Astyanax mexicanus: one gene and its partner. The main gene of each other region encodes a partner of the protein of the gene in region 2 in a complex. Links are inferred from orthologs where the notes say so. Each region holds a gene or a part of one and is shown on either strand. Other genes may lie near its edges.

Region 1 (7,386 bases), on a different chromosome or scaffold from region 2:
ACAATCACTGTACACTGTACAATCACTGTACAATCACTGTACAATCACTGTACAATCACGGTAAGATTACTGTACGATCACTGTATGATCACTAAGATTACTCTACGATCACTGTACGATCACTACAATCACTGTACAATCACTGTACACTGTACAAGCACTGTACAATCACTGTAAGTTTACTGTACGATCACGGTAAGATTACTGTACGATCACTGTATGATCACTAAGATTACTCTACGATCACTGTACAATCACTACAATCACTGTACGATCACTGTACAAGCACTGTACAATCACGGTAAGATTACTGTACGATCACTGTACGATCACGGTACAATCACAGTAAGATTACTGTATGATCACTGTACACTGTACGATCACTGTACGATCACGGTACAATCACGGTACAATCACAGTAAGATTACTGTATGATCACTGTACACTGTACGATTGCTGTAAGATTACTGTACAATCACTGTACAATCACTGTACACTGTACAATCACTGTACAATCACTGTACAATCACTGTACAATCACGGTAAGATTACTGTACGATCACTGTATGATCACTAAGATTACTCTACGATCACTGTACGATCACTACAATCACTGTACAATCACTGTACACTGTACAAGCACTGTACAATCACTGTAAGTTTACTGTACGATCACGGTAAGATTACTGTACGATCACGGTAAGATTACTGTACGATCACTGTATGATCACTAAGATTACTCTACGATCACTGTACAATCACTACAATCACTGTACGATCACTGTACAAGCACTGTACAATCACGGTAAGATTACTGTACGATCACTGTACGATCACGGTACAATCACAGTAAGATTACTGTATGATCACTGTACACTGTACGATCACTGTACGATTGCTGTAAGATTACTGTACGATCACGGTACACTGTACGATCACTATACGTTTACTGTACGATCACTTTACCCCCCTCCCCCCTCACCTGCAGGCAGAGTGAAGCGTTGCTGAAGGCGGAGCTGCTGTCCCTCCCACAGAGCAGGGTGGAGTGGTGCGTGTAGTCCAGGGTGCTGTTCATTTCACTCCAGGTGAAGTTCTGAAGGTCGTAAGGGGGGAGAAAGCTGGACTCGGGGAGATCCTGAGGGTCTGCAGTGTTGTTTACATCATCATATTCCAGCAGCTGAGACCAAAATCAATACACAGATTTCTCACACTCCAGTTCATCACAGAAACGTCTCAGTCTCAGATTACACTGCTATGCTAACGGCTAGGCTAACAGATAAAATTCCATCTGGTTCCATAACCTACCTGTTGTTAAAAGTATTCGGATACTTAGCTGGACTACATTTGTTAATATAAAAATGACTTATAGATTTACATATATTTGACTGTTAACTTAATATTTCTAATTGAAATTTAAAACTGATGTGATTTCAACGTTATGTAATGTTAACAGGTGATTATAATCCTGACTTTATAAAGCAGGAAAAAAGCTGATAGCTGACTTAAGACATGTTTGCCTGAAGTATTTGACAAAATATGGAATGTGTATCAGATTTGAAATGCAAACATGGATGTATATTAATCAATAAAATTGAGTTAGAAGTTTAGTTAAAATATAAAATATCTTCATGCTATCTGTAATCAAACAAAAGTTATTAAATATAAGTTAGTAAATGTAGGAAACACTGGATTTTTAATGTGTTTCCCGAACTGTCATAACGTATGGTCTTCGGGGTTGTAGTCTCTGTGTAAAGTGTAATTTGGGTAGGACAGGGATGTTAAGATATAAACTCTCAATTTTCTAAAAGTGAAACAAACCAGTTGAAACCCTTTGAGAATAACTGGATCCTAAATTGTGACCAGTATGAAACTGAAGCTGGTCTCACCCTGGAGAAGACCAGGGCGCTGCTGTACCGCACGCTGCTCTCCGGCTCCACCCGCACGCTGCCCGGGGTGCGGTTGAGGAAGGCGGTCCAGTTGACGTGGATAAGGGACTCGGTGGAGTTGGTGTGAACCAGCAGAACTGCAGGAGCTCCGTTGCTGCTGAGGAGGAGGTGCAGGGTGTCGTTTTCACCCAGCGCCCGGACATGCAGCAGGTCCACGCCGGGGGACGGTGTCTTCTGTCCAGGGTTCAGCTCCAGAGACACCTGAGGGACAGAGACATCCAACACAATCAAATCAATAATAATAATAATAATAATAATAATAAATAATAATAATAATAATAATAATAATAATAATAATAATAATAATAATAAAAAAAAAATAATAATAATTATAAATTGAGTGTTCACACATCCTTTTCACACATATTACCATTTTCTTATTAACATATGGAAGAAATCTTCCTTTAATTGTTGAATTATCTCACCTTCATGTTTATTTTTTGTTCACTGTTCACATATTTAAAAAGAAAGCTTTATCATTATGTATTTAAAATGTTTTAAAGCTGTTGGGAATGAAGGAGTTAAACTTGTGAATCAAAACAGAAGTGAATCTCATTAATGCAGCAACAACTTCCCTAAAACTGGAGCCAAACCCAACCGTTTATTCTTATTAATACTAATAATACTACTAATACTAATACTAATACTAATAATAATAATAATAATAATCAGCATAACAATCATACCCTGACTTTAGTTTTATATAAAACCATTTATAAATATAAAATGGCCTTTAATAAACGTTTAAAAAACTTTAATAAAGAGTTTTTTTTATAGCAGGAGATCAGAACTGCAGGTTTTTGATTAGAATATTAATATATTTATGATTTTAAGGCGTTTTGGTTTGTTTTGGTCGCTCGAGGTTCAGCAGTTTCTATTAAACTCAATCAAAAAACAATCAGAATAATTTATTAAACTTCACCTTCCGCCGGAAATCATCTCCGCCCCACAGGACTCCGCGCGCGGCGCAGATCAATAAAATATTAATAAAAATCTGAATTTTATCCATAATTTACCCTCCGCTCCACTGCAGTCTCACGAGCCAGTCAGCTGACCCTTCAAAATACAAGTCCCGCTGCGCGCGCACATGCAGCAAAATAAAAGTCCAACGGAAACGTGAGAAATAATAATAATAATAATAATAATAATAATAATAATAATAATAATAATAATAATAATAGGTTTAGATTAAACATTTTTTAAATGTAATAATTAGTCAGATCTGTGTAAGTGTGTCTGGATCGTTGGACCTTAATCTCTGAAGCACTTCCTGTAAACAGTGAGTCAGTTTGGTTGGTTCCAATTCCACATTATTATTGAACCCCCAGAAATTTCACTCATTATTTTCCAAATAAGTTAAAGGTTCCTGAGGACAGAATTCTCCTGTATTAAAATAATCCTGATCCAGAACCTGAGTTCCTGATCCGGCAATTATCGGGTTAAAACACTTCATATAAAGATTTTAGATCTCAGAGGATCATCGATCAGATCCTTTATCTGAATCTAATTTTTTTTTAATCCTACTTATAAAAATCTATTCTTACGTCAGTTTAAACCACACTAGTGTTTATTTAACACTAGACTGTACTGAATGATGGTGCTGATGGTCTGATTTATGTTCCTGTAGCGTCATCTAGTGGCCATTTAATAGAACTGCTCTGCAGCACAGCTTCATCCTCTGCTCTAAATTCAGAATCTACACATTTCTCCATTATTTACACACGAATACAAGGAACACCTTGTTATTCTAATCTATAAAGTTAATTACCCTGCTGTTTACACTGACTGGTCACATGATCAAACACACAACACACAGATTTGCAATCAGCAATCAGAGCTTCAGCATGAAAAAGAAATATGTGAGTTTAGATAAAGTAGAGCAGGAACAGTGTAGCATCATCCATCACCTGGACTTTCAGAAATAAGTATAGATAATGAATCTGCTCTCATTGTTAAACTGCAGTACTGTATTTTAATACAGTGTCATTGAGTACTGTAGGACAGTATTACATGTGGACTGTTCTGTATTTTCAGTTATTTGTGAAATATATTCATACTTTGTGTTCGTACAAATGTACACTGATGTACACTGTCTACATTGTTTTGTGGAAAAATAAAAAATATATATTTTTTACTGTGTATTTGTGTTTTCTATATTATCAAATGTTTTACAAAACAATTATGTATGAGCTGTCTGTAGTAAAGTGTAACACTGAACATAAAAAGGTGTGTGTGTGTGAGAGTGTGTGTGTGTGTGTGTGTGTTTGGTGAAGCGGCTCTGTGTATCTGCCAGAAGGCCTGATGTGGTTACTGTAGATGTGGAGGGTAAATCTGTGTTTCTGATTGAAGCTGCTGTTTTGACTCATCAGTGGAAGAAGCTTTTTGTACACAGATTGTGTAATACCAGCCGCTCGTAGAGTTTATTAATAGTTTAAGTTTAAATGTTCTCTGATTGTGATTATTTTAGGAAGCCTCGGTCGCGTACACCGATTGGCTGTTAGAGGCCTGCAGATCCTCTGCTTCTCTAAGACTAGAGCCAAACGGTTAGCGAGATATTGTTCTATATCTGCAATAATTGGAAGTCGACATATTTGAAGAAAGAGAGGTTTTGTGTATCAATAAAGGCATATGTAAATAAAAAAAACTGATGCTGCATGGTCATGTACTGCTGTTGGATGATGCATTTAAAAAGATTTGGGTCTTTTAATTTTGTATTTTGTAGGCCTAAATAAATGTGTTAAATGTGTCTATGTGTGAGAGTGTGTGTATCAGTGTGTGTGTGTGTGTGAGAGTGTGTGTGTGTGTGTTTGTGTGTGTGTGAGAGTTTGTGTGTCTGTATGTGTGTGTGTGTCTGTGTATGTGTTGTGTGTGTGTGTGTGTAAGAGAGAGCACCTGAGAGTCTTTAATTGACAGTTTGGAGGGAAATTAAGTGGGAATGAAAGTAGCAGATTGCTCTATAAAAAGGATCATTGCTGGTAAAATCTTACCAAAGCGGTTTGGGATCACCAATGTGGTTCTAGTGTTTTTTGGGTTAACCATACTTTGGGTCCAACCTATACCAAGGCAGTCAAGCCGGTCAAGTTTGTTGTCCAACTGAAACGTCTGGGGTCACCTGCAGAGTTTTGTGCCACATAAGCCTAGGTCCTTCCATCCGACCATCCAGAGGTCTGAAATCGCAGTATGTTGTCCAACTAGAACCTCTGGGGTCGCCTGCAGTGTTTTGTGTATCAGAAACCTCCGTAGGCCAAACTCCGTCCCACAAACTCCAAGAGGTCCGACATTGCAGGCAGTTGTCAATGACACAAAACTCGGCAGGCGACCCGGGGGAAAGGAGTTTGGCCTACAGAGGTTTCTGACGCACGAAACTCAGCAGAGTATCCCAGGAGTGCAACATTGATTTCAGACGTCTGAGTGTTCGGGGGAAGGAGTTTGGCCTACGGTGTCTTCTGTGACATGAAAACTCAGCAGGTGCCATTTGGACAACATACTGCTATTTCAGGCCTCTCAGTGGTCAGGGGAAGGAGTTTGGCCTATGGTGTCTTCTTTGATATGCAAACTCAGCAAACAACTCCACAGGTGTCATTTGGACAACATACTTTTCAGACGTCTGAGTGTTTGGGGAAAGGAGTTTGGCCTACTGTGTCTTCTGTGACATGAAAACTCAGCAGGAAACTCCACAGGTGCCAGTTGGACAATCAGTGTTGGGAGTAATGGCGTTAAAACTAACGGCATTACTAATACCGTTACTTCTTTTCAGTAACGAGTAATCTAACTAATTACTATGACTGTAATTATAACGCCGTTACCGTTTCCGACACCCGTTACTGCACGTTACTTTAGCCGCTCTATGAACTTTTTTTTTTTTTTTAACTTCGCTTTGCCCTGGTTAACCCCTCCTCTTTCCGGTAAACTTGAGCTTCTGGCCGCTGTGCCTGTGGTTTGGCGTGGTGAAGTGAGGCACATTTGCTGCTCTAATCAATTCAGTGATTGCCGTGGACAGCCCAAGTTCTGAATTAAGGACGTTAAGCTCTTTTTAGCTGCTCCGGTTTTTGTGGTGCTGCTGCTTTCTCTTTTAGAGCTTATAGATTCTCTGCCCGAACCCGACCTGACCCGAGGACCGACCCGAAATCGGGCTCCTATTTTTATTTTATATAAAGCTCTGATGTGATAATCACAATGTTGCTAAGTAACCAATTATTATTGTTCACTAAAGCGAACGAAATACCGAAAACTGAAAGTGAAAAACATTTGTGTTAACTGAATCTAATAAAAACGGTAATTAAAAGGAAAAAAACAGAACTATCTCGAACTGTATTTTGTGTTTATAAAACTAACTAAAACGAACTGAAATTACTGATAGAATATCCTCATTTCGTGTTTAATTTATTTATAAGCGCTGTTGTACAGCGGAGTTGTACAGCGGGAGTTGTTGTGCCGAGCGCACGGCACTCGTGGTCCGTTAGTTCTTGTAACTAAATACGACAGAAAACACTGAGAAACTGCAGAACTATGTATGGGATTACAATATGAGCACCAGGCAGATAAAAGAGAAACAGGAGATACAGTGTGAAAACATTTACCTGTGAGTAGCTCATACCAGAACAAGCAAATATCTCTCTCTCTCTCTCTCTCTCTCTCTCTCTTTCTCTCTCACGTTTATTAGATTGATCTCTCTGATGAGTGTGATGTGTGAAAACTAATAAAAACTAGCAAGCCCACCCTAAAAACTTACTGAACAGAAAAAATAAATAAATAACTAAAATTAAACTATAATAAAAATGAAAAATGCGTTTGACTTGCAGCATTGTGTGTAGCTGTTCTTAAAAATTATTTAAATTAAATAATAGTTCTATGCTTTTATGTTACAGTGTTAATTAACATAATTCTGATTATATTTCTCTCATTCAATCAGCCCGAAAACAGACAGTTTATGGGGCGGATCGGGTCAGGCTCGGGCTCATAATGACAGTTCATGGTTCGGGCTGGGTCGGGTCGGATTTTTTGGGCCCGATCTAAGCTCTATTCTCTTTTAAAAACGGTCATTAGATTGATGTTTTTGTCCATTATTTTGTTTTATTTATATATACATATTTCCTTTGAGTGTGGCTTGGTTTGTTTAATTTCATCCTCAGACGCGTTTTTCCGTTTTTTTCGGTTTTTTTCAGTATTACAAGTTTTAGTAATTTTCTTTGGTTCTGTGGAGAATTTCGTTTTGTTTTTTTGAAATTCGTTAGATTATATTTTTGTCAACATTTTGGGTTAATTTTCGTTTGTTATTTTTCTAATAATAATAGTAAATGCATAATTGATTTCCTTTTTTTGACGGGCGAATAATAAAAAGTAACGCATAGTTACTTTTACTGGTAACTAGTTACTTTTATAGTGGAGTAACTCCGTTAGTAACTCAGTTACTTTTTTGGAGAAGTAACGAGTAACTATA
Region 2 (7,307 bases):
TTTCCTAGGAGTGGTCACTTCACGCTACAAGTTTCAAGCATCTATCATTTAAATTCAAACATACAATCAAAACACACAAACACACAATAATTAAAAGGTGATGTGCACCTACCTGTCCAACACAGACAAAGAGTGAAAAGATTATTGTCCCCAGCCTAGAAAGAATAGAGGTTCATGTTACTCTTACTTAGGGCTGGACGATATGATACAAATATTATATAACAATATGTGATACTGTATTTATCTTGAAAACAATGCACAATGTTCGCAAAAATGAATTAGTAACACAAGATCCTTTAAACACCATTTTACCATGCTACGTACAGTGATGTGTATTTAAAACATACTGCAATGGAAAGCATTTATTTAAGTAATAAAGCTACAAACTCCTAAAAGATGAAAATACATCATAAAATAGATTATTTTAATCTTACCATGATCAGCAGAAGCACTGTTTTAATCAATAATTAAACTGACATGCCAAAAAGCATGGTGGAAACCGTGTAAGTTTTAACTCCGGGGACAGACTGGGAACACTAACACTGACACTTGTGTGGGCATTTAACATTCCTTGATCCACAGTGCCGTGTGTACGATGTCAATGTATAACATCAATTACAAGATATTCAGTAATTTGTATTCAGCAACTTTTTATTCACTGTAGACTGAACTTTTTACTGGTACAAAACACAAAAGAGTGTGCTCACCTGATGCCAAAAACTCTGTCCAGTAGAAAGCCTCCCAGAAAACAGAGGACTACATTGGGCCATGAGTACCAGGCATAAAGCTGCATAAAGCTGGAGGTGTTTAGTCCCATATCCTGCAGACAAAGTGAGAGAGAAAGATAATCAAACCAAAATCACAAATTACCAAGAGTGCCATGTTTAGTTACAGACTTTGGACTATGTAACTTTATAACTTGCTGGAAGAAACATCTGAGTGGACGCCATATGTAATGGATGTAGCTGGATCCTAACTTTAATCAGAAATGGTCGCACTATGGATAGGCAGACTCTCTCTTAAAAGCTGGATGCTGGAGGTGCTGGATGATGTAACATTACATTTAATGGATAGTGTGTAGTTATTAACATAATAAAGAATAATTATTTAAATGTAATGCTAATTCTAAACTACAAAGTACTCAGCAGCTGAGGCAATGGACCATTAACCCGTCCCTTGTACGCTGTGCTTTTAGATCTTTGTCGTGCCAGTATCAGATTGTAGCTGTTGCTGTGTTCTGATTACACAACTCTGAAATGTAAATGATTGTGTACCCATTTTGTACCCAATTTTGTACCCATTTGTGTACCCAAGTAGACTGCCATGGTTGATTGTATGCTGATATGGTCCAGACTAAGAAGTGTTTTGTCTATGTTCTTGGAAGTATTTTGTCACAGTATGGTTTCATTTTCACTTTAGGTCTGAGTACTTAGCAGGGGAGCATAAACATACACTGTTATGCTGAGCTTCTGGATTCTTGTTGAATCGGTATCAGATTCTAGCTGTCGTGGTTTTTGTTGTTTGTTGGGTGAATAACAATACATCCTTGCTAAGCCCTATATGTAACTCTAGTAGTTAGGTGCAGAGTTTACCATCTTCCTGTATTATGTTACTTACATAAAACTACTCTGAATCACCCAGCAAAGAAGCTCACATATATTGCAGTTATACAATGACCAAAATCTCTAGAAACAATTCACACAATACAAATCAGTGCTCACTATGCGGAGGGCACCAAAAAAATCAGTCTTGTGAAAAATCATCATAAAAATAATGATCATAATCAGGGGTGTCACAAGGCCTGGACTTCCAGGGCCACAAAAAAATTAAACAAGCCCTGAATGTAGGGTGACAAGTGGTCCAGTGGCGCTCTTTACCCTCATCATTCCAATGGGTGATATCACTCAACACAAGGCGTCTGTGAGCTGATGTATCGTGAAAGAGTCGCTGCACTTTCCTCCGAGCACACTGTGGTGCTGCTCTGAAATGCTGCATCAGAAACAGTGGCAGTGGCTGACTTAAAATGTGTAGGCATGTGCTAGTCTTCACCCTTCTGGTGTTGGGGCAACACCAATGATAGGGTGAGTCCTAATGCGTGGTTTGGCTAATTGGCCTAATACAGCTTTTGGGACACAGCCATCTTTGCTGCTGCCTAGTTTAGCTAGTGTTTTATCAAAACATTAATATTAAAGAGTAATTTTTAATTCAAATCATTTTGTGCCTAGGACACACAAATGACTAGCAAACTAAAGTGACAAAATTATTTAGAGAAAAAACGAGTAAGAATAGGGAAGCAAATGAAATATTTGCATATAAAGAGGAACAGCAGCTCAATACAAATCACAATAAAGCTATTCTACACAATAAAAGTCCTTTGACCTGTATGACTTGTTTCTGAAGAGCTGCTGGATTGTCATAGCAGAAGTAGCTACCTGTAAAATAAAAGGACATTAAGCTGTTAAATTCCGACATAGATTTTTACTTTAATACACAGTGTGGAAGTAATACAAAAAACCGTTTCGTAGCACAACTGTTCTAGTTATTTAGCAGCAGTGTTTCTGTAGTTAACGTTAGCTAACTAGCTAACAGCTGATTTAACGTTACTTCTGCACAGTGTAGCTAGCCACACTTACTACACTGAATAACACATTTAATACAGCCTAATGATACGGAGTCAGCTGAATGTAAACAAAGGACTTTTAAGCTAGTTTGCTGGTGTTACTGAAGCTAAAAACAACAGTGACGCGCCCGGAACCCCACTACCCCACTTACCGAAACCTAAAAAACACATAAACATCAGGACCAAGATCCGGTGCAGCAGGTGGCTCGGGTCCAGCAGAGGATGCATCCGCCTTGTGTTTCTCCCCTCATGATTATTTTCATCTAAAAGCCTCTCGTCTTCTTCTAATCCCGCCATTCTCCTCCCTATGTTAAAACAGCAGCTCTCTCATACAGCAGCTCTACAGCAGAGCCGTGCGGATCCTGAGTCATGTGACTGCACACTCAGGAGTCATATGACTACGAACAGTTTCAGTTTTATATCCGGAAATAGTTAAGTTCTACAGTATAATGTGTGTTTAATGTATGTAAAATGTATTATCTTTTGTGAAGTGCATTTTTAATGTATGTAAAATGATTTTTTTAAGTATAGTTTAAGTAAAAATACATGTTTCTAAGTATAGTGTTTGTTTTATGTATGTAAAATGTATTTTATTTAGTATATTGCAAGTAAACATACATGTTCCTAAGTTTAATGTTTGTTTAATGTATATAAAATGTATTTTCTTTAGTAAAGTTTCAGTAAAAATACAAGTTACTAAGTATAATGTGTGTTTAATGTATGTTCTTCAGTGGAGTGCATTTTTAATATATGTAAAATGAAATTTCTTTCGTATAGTTTAAGTAAAAAAACATGTTTCTAAGTATAGTGTTTGTTTTATGTATATAAAATGTATTTTCTTCAGTAAAGTTTAAGTAAATATACAAGTTATTAAGTATAATGCATGTTTAATGTGTGTAAAATGTTTTTTTCTTTAGTATATTGTAAGTAAACATACATGTTCTTAAGTATAAAGTTTGTTTAATGCATATAAAATATATGTTCTATAGTATGTGTTTAATGTATGTAAAAAATATATGTTCTACAGTATGATGTGTGTTAAATATACGTGAAAGTTTTGATTTTTTTATTATAATGTGTGTTTAATGTATGTAAAATGTAACGTATGTTCTTCAGTATAATGTATTTTCTTTAGTATATTGTAAGTAAACATACATGTCCCTAAGTATAAAGTTTGTTTAATGTATATAAATTGCATGTTCTTCAGTATAATGTATGTTGAATGTATATTCTTTTATATAATGTATATTTGATGTGTATAAAGTACAAGAGACTCAGACTTAAAAGTACAAGTGTCCTTTAATCACCACACGTAAGTGTGGTAAGGTAGTTTATTTTACTGAAAGTAAAAGTACAGTATTGGAAAGCAGTGGAAAGTTTGCAGAGTGAAAGGCAAGACGGGAACAGTGTGAATTTCTTATAGGGTCAGCTCGATTGCTTGGTCTTTGAGGCCCAATGCCTTTAGTTTTCCCTGCTTCCAACACACCTGTTCATACTATTTAGCTTATTAACAGCCCATTATTGAAGTGGGTGTGCAGGACAGGAAAATGTTCCTGTGGTAATTTGATAAATATTCTACCTAGAAGTATTTTGGGCCATTACAAGTCTATAGAGGTCTTGGTTGTTGTTGTTAACCTTCCTTTCTATTTGATTTGTGACTGGGGTTTATAAAAGCCAGTATTCACATCTGTAAGCTGATATGTTTGGCAGATGTCACCTTCATGTTGTGAATTTGACAGTTTGACCTTAAATGCACATTCTGTCACTGCCCATCAATCAGTGTTTGTGAGTAGAGCCCTGGCAACAGCCTTTTTATGAGAAAGAAATACAATTACATCAACAGAGTAGATATCTTACCTCACCTTACCCAACATTTATCTTCTATATTCCTACTCCAACCTGTGTATCACACAAAATGCAAACATCTACATTTAATAAACATTTTATTAGGGGTGTAAATGGTTACAGAATGACATTATACCATAAACCATATTGTTTTAGCATCAAATCCAGGTCCTGTTTAGTATCTGACGATAGTTGTCTTCAGGTTTGAATGGTGTGATGATCTGGGTAGTAATACTAGGGACACTAACAGTTTAATGATATGTGCGTGACATCCTGCAGCCACAAGGGTTGCCTCATATGGCAGGGCTTCCAACTTTCATTTTTCAGCAGGATAATGCTCCAACTTATACAGCAAAGGTTTTATAGGAATATCTCCACCAGATTGCAACACTTCCTTTGCCAATCAAGCACTTATCCAGCCGGAACAAGTGTGTACACAAAATGCATACCTACATAAACACATATACTGTATATACACAATGTAATAAAGATTTCTCAAGGATAAATAAATAAGAAACAAATCTCCAGTGACCTCATAAATACACTTGTCAAGGTCACAGGCCGAAAATCACTACATCCCCTGGGGCATGATTTCTTAGTAGCAGGGGCACATATGTCCCCCAGGCTGTTGGTGCCATATGTGCATCCAGTGCATTCATTTCTGAAGGATGGGTTGACTCTTTATTGAAATATTTCCAGAGAAGGGCATGGAAGCCATCTGGTCCTGCGGTTTTAAGAGCATTAGGATGTCTAAAAGACTTAGACCCATACAGGTAACTGACATCTCAATTATTTAATCAAATATTCAGTTCATTATCTAGGGAAACTGGTCACATAGTGCTGGAATAAAGTGCTCAGGCTGGTTATGCTGCTTTAAAAGCTTGGTTATGGTTGTTGGTTAACGTGGCCATAGTGGTTGACCAACTTGGTCACAATGGTCATGCTATTCGACCAGCCTGCTTATAATGGTCATGCTTGTTAACATCCTTGTTCATTCTGCTAATATCTGCTCATGCTCGTCATTCAGCTTGGTCATGGTAATTGACCAGCGTGGCCATCATGGTTGATCTATGTGCTGGTTATCCATTTTAGTCAAGACTGGTCAACCATCTTGATTAACATTTGTCAACCATCTTGGTATTCACTGGTTAACCATCTTGGTAATGGTGGCCCATGTACATAGTCACAGTGGTCATGCTGGGCAACCAATGTGCTCATAATGGTCACCAAATATGGTTACAATGGTCATTGTGGTCAACCTACAGGCTCATGATGCTCGTGATGGTCAACAACCTTAGTCATTCCTGTCACCCAGCAGGGTCACAGTCAGTGATGGTATAGTTACTTTGAAAAAGTAATCCGATTACTGATTACTCCTTTAAAAAGTAACTTAGTTACTTTATGGATTACTTGATTTTAAAAGTAACTAAGTTACTTTACAAGTTACTTTAAGCAGCTGCACACACCACGTCCCGCCGCCTTAACATAAAAATTATAACCAGTTTTGCCAATACTCCCTTTATTGGAAAAAGCATTTTTAACAGCATCAATGTATCTCTAGACATTTAAAGTTGAACTATTTATTTTTATAAAATTAAAAGACCATTTCTCTTGAATTAACTTAACATAAATATTTTTTTTTATAAAAAATAAAATATGGTCTTTCTTGATTTCACTTAACATAAATACTTGTTTTTATAAAAAAAATATAAAATAAAGAAAGTCTTTCTTGACCTGACATATTTAACACTGTAAAACTGAATATTGAACCTGTTGTTCTCTGCAGGGCAGCAAGGAGTGGTTTGATAAAACAAAACCGTGTATATGGTCGAGGCCAGGGATCACATATATGCAGACTGCGGTCAGACGTTGTCCAATGCGGACCCAAACCGATAAACTACTGAGAAGGATTTAATTTTGACAGTGTTCATTTAAAGCGTCAGAACTTTTCTTGTCTTTACGGTATACGCACTCTGCGGCATGGGAAACTCACAGACCAATCACGTGTGGTGTAAAATCTTCAAACGCTCTCCTCTGCCAATCAGATCTGTGCAGACCGCTGCCCTGGCTAGTGAATTGGGACGTGGCCGGGAAAACCCGCCTTTATAAAGAGATAGGGAGCCCGAGAACTGGCGGAAAAACGAGAATGGGCGGAAACTAAAAACACGCCGAGCGCGAGAGAGAGAGAGACAGGGGAGAAAGCGAGACGCGTGTGATTGGGGGAGAGCGGAGGGGGATGGGGAAGGGAACGCGGTGTGTGTGTGTGTGTGTGAGGTGGAGAGAGAGAGAGAGAGAGAGAGCGAGAGTAACGCACAGTGACTTGGATAAGTAACTTTAATCTGATTACTGGATTGGAAATAGTAACGAGTTAGATTACTCGTTACTGAAAAAAAGAGTCAGATTAGAGTAACGCGTTAATAACATCACTGCTTGGGACCCTGTGTCAGCGTGAGGCTGCCGTAAAAAAAAAATGCCTTTTTAATTTATTTAGACAGCAGTCATATTCATATTGTTCTACCCAGCTACTGATGCATCTGTAACTCTTTACAATCAGGGTAAAAAATAACAGTACTTACGACTGTAATCAGGGCCGCCGCTCTGCATACGCAGACAACGCAGCCAGCGTTAGGCCTCAACCATTTTGCAGTTGCAGGGAGCCAAATTGACTGAGAATGAAATGACAGAATTATGACATTATTAAATTTAAAACCCAATGTGAATTATTTATGATACGCTCATCTTTTTTGTCTTTAAACATTGCATGGGGCACCTACTCTACTACTTAAAAGCAGCACGTTATTATTTTTGTGCATAATATAATGCCCCCACCCCTATTGCCTGA

What was found.
Region 1: the proteins of mfsd1 (region 2) and glycosylated lysosomal membrane protein are in contact, whole or in part, in a cryo-EM structure (PDB 8R8Q), measured with the Mus musculus proteins. The link is inferred for Astyanax mexicanus from reciprocal best matches to the Homo sapiens genes MFSD1 and GLMP. Residues at the interface, in NP_080089.1 of Mus musculus: Val288, Glu292, Lys293, Arg295, Phe349, Phe351, Leu411, Asp412, Lys414, Gly415, Tyr416, Leu417, Leu418, Val421, Ile424, Ser428, Leu432, Val435, Leu439; in NP_064387.1 of Mus musculus: Glu250, Asn252, Ser253, Ile254, Asp255, Asp256, Glu257, Pro260, Ala261, Phe263, Gln264, Arg292, Phe364, Leu367, Val368, Ile371, Met372, Ala375, Ala378, Leu381, Met382, Gly385, Phe389.

The regions. Positions count from the first base shown.
Region 1 is NW_026040049.1:40,303-47,688, reverse strand, and holds the start of glycosylated lysosomal membrane protein, read right to left. Parts: upstream 3,015-7,386; 5' UTR 2,956-3,014; coding exon 2,869-2,955; intron 2,148-2,868; coding exon 1,887-2,147; intron 1,178-1,886; coding exon 983-1,177; intron 1-982. UniProt on the Homo sapiens protein: Required to protect lysosomal transporter MFSD1 from lysosomal proteolysis and for MFSD1 lysosomal localization.
Region 2 is NC_064411.1:42,770,013-42,777,319, forward strand, and holds the start of mfsd1 (major facilitator superfamily domain-containing protein 1), read right to left. Parts: upstream 3,006-7,307; 5' UTR 2,918-3,005; coding exon 2,773-2,917; intron 2,433-2,772; coding exon 2,380-2,432; intron 821-2,379; coding exon 708-820; intron 156-707; coding exon 113-155; intron 1-112. UniProt on the Homo sapiens protein: Lysosomal dipeptide uniporter that selectively exports lysine, arginine or histidine-containing dipeptides with a net positive charge from the lysosome lumen into the cytosol.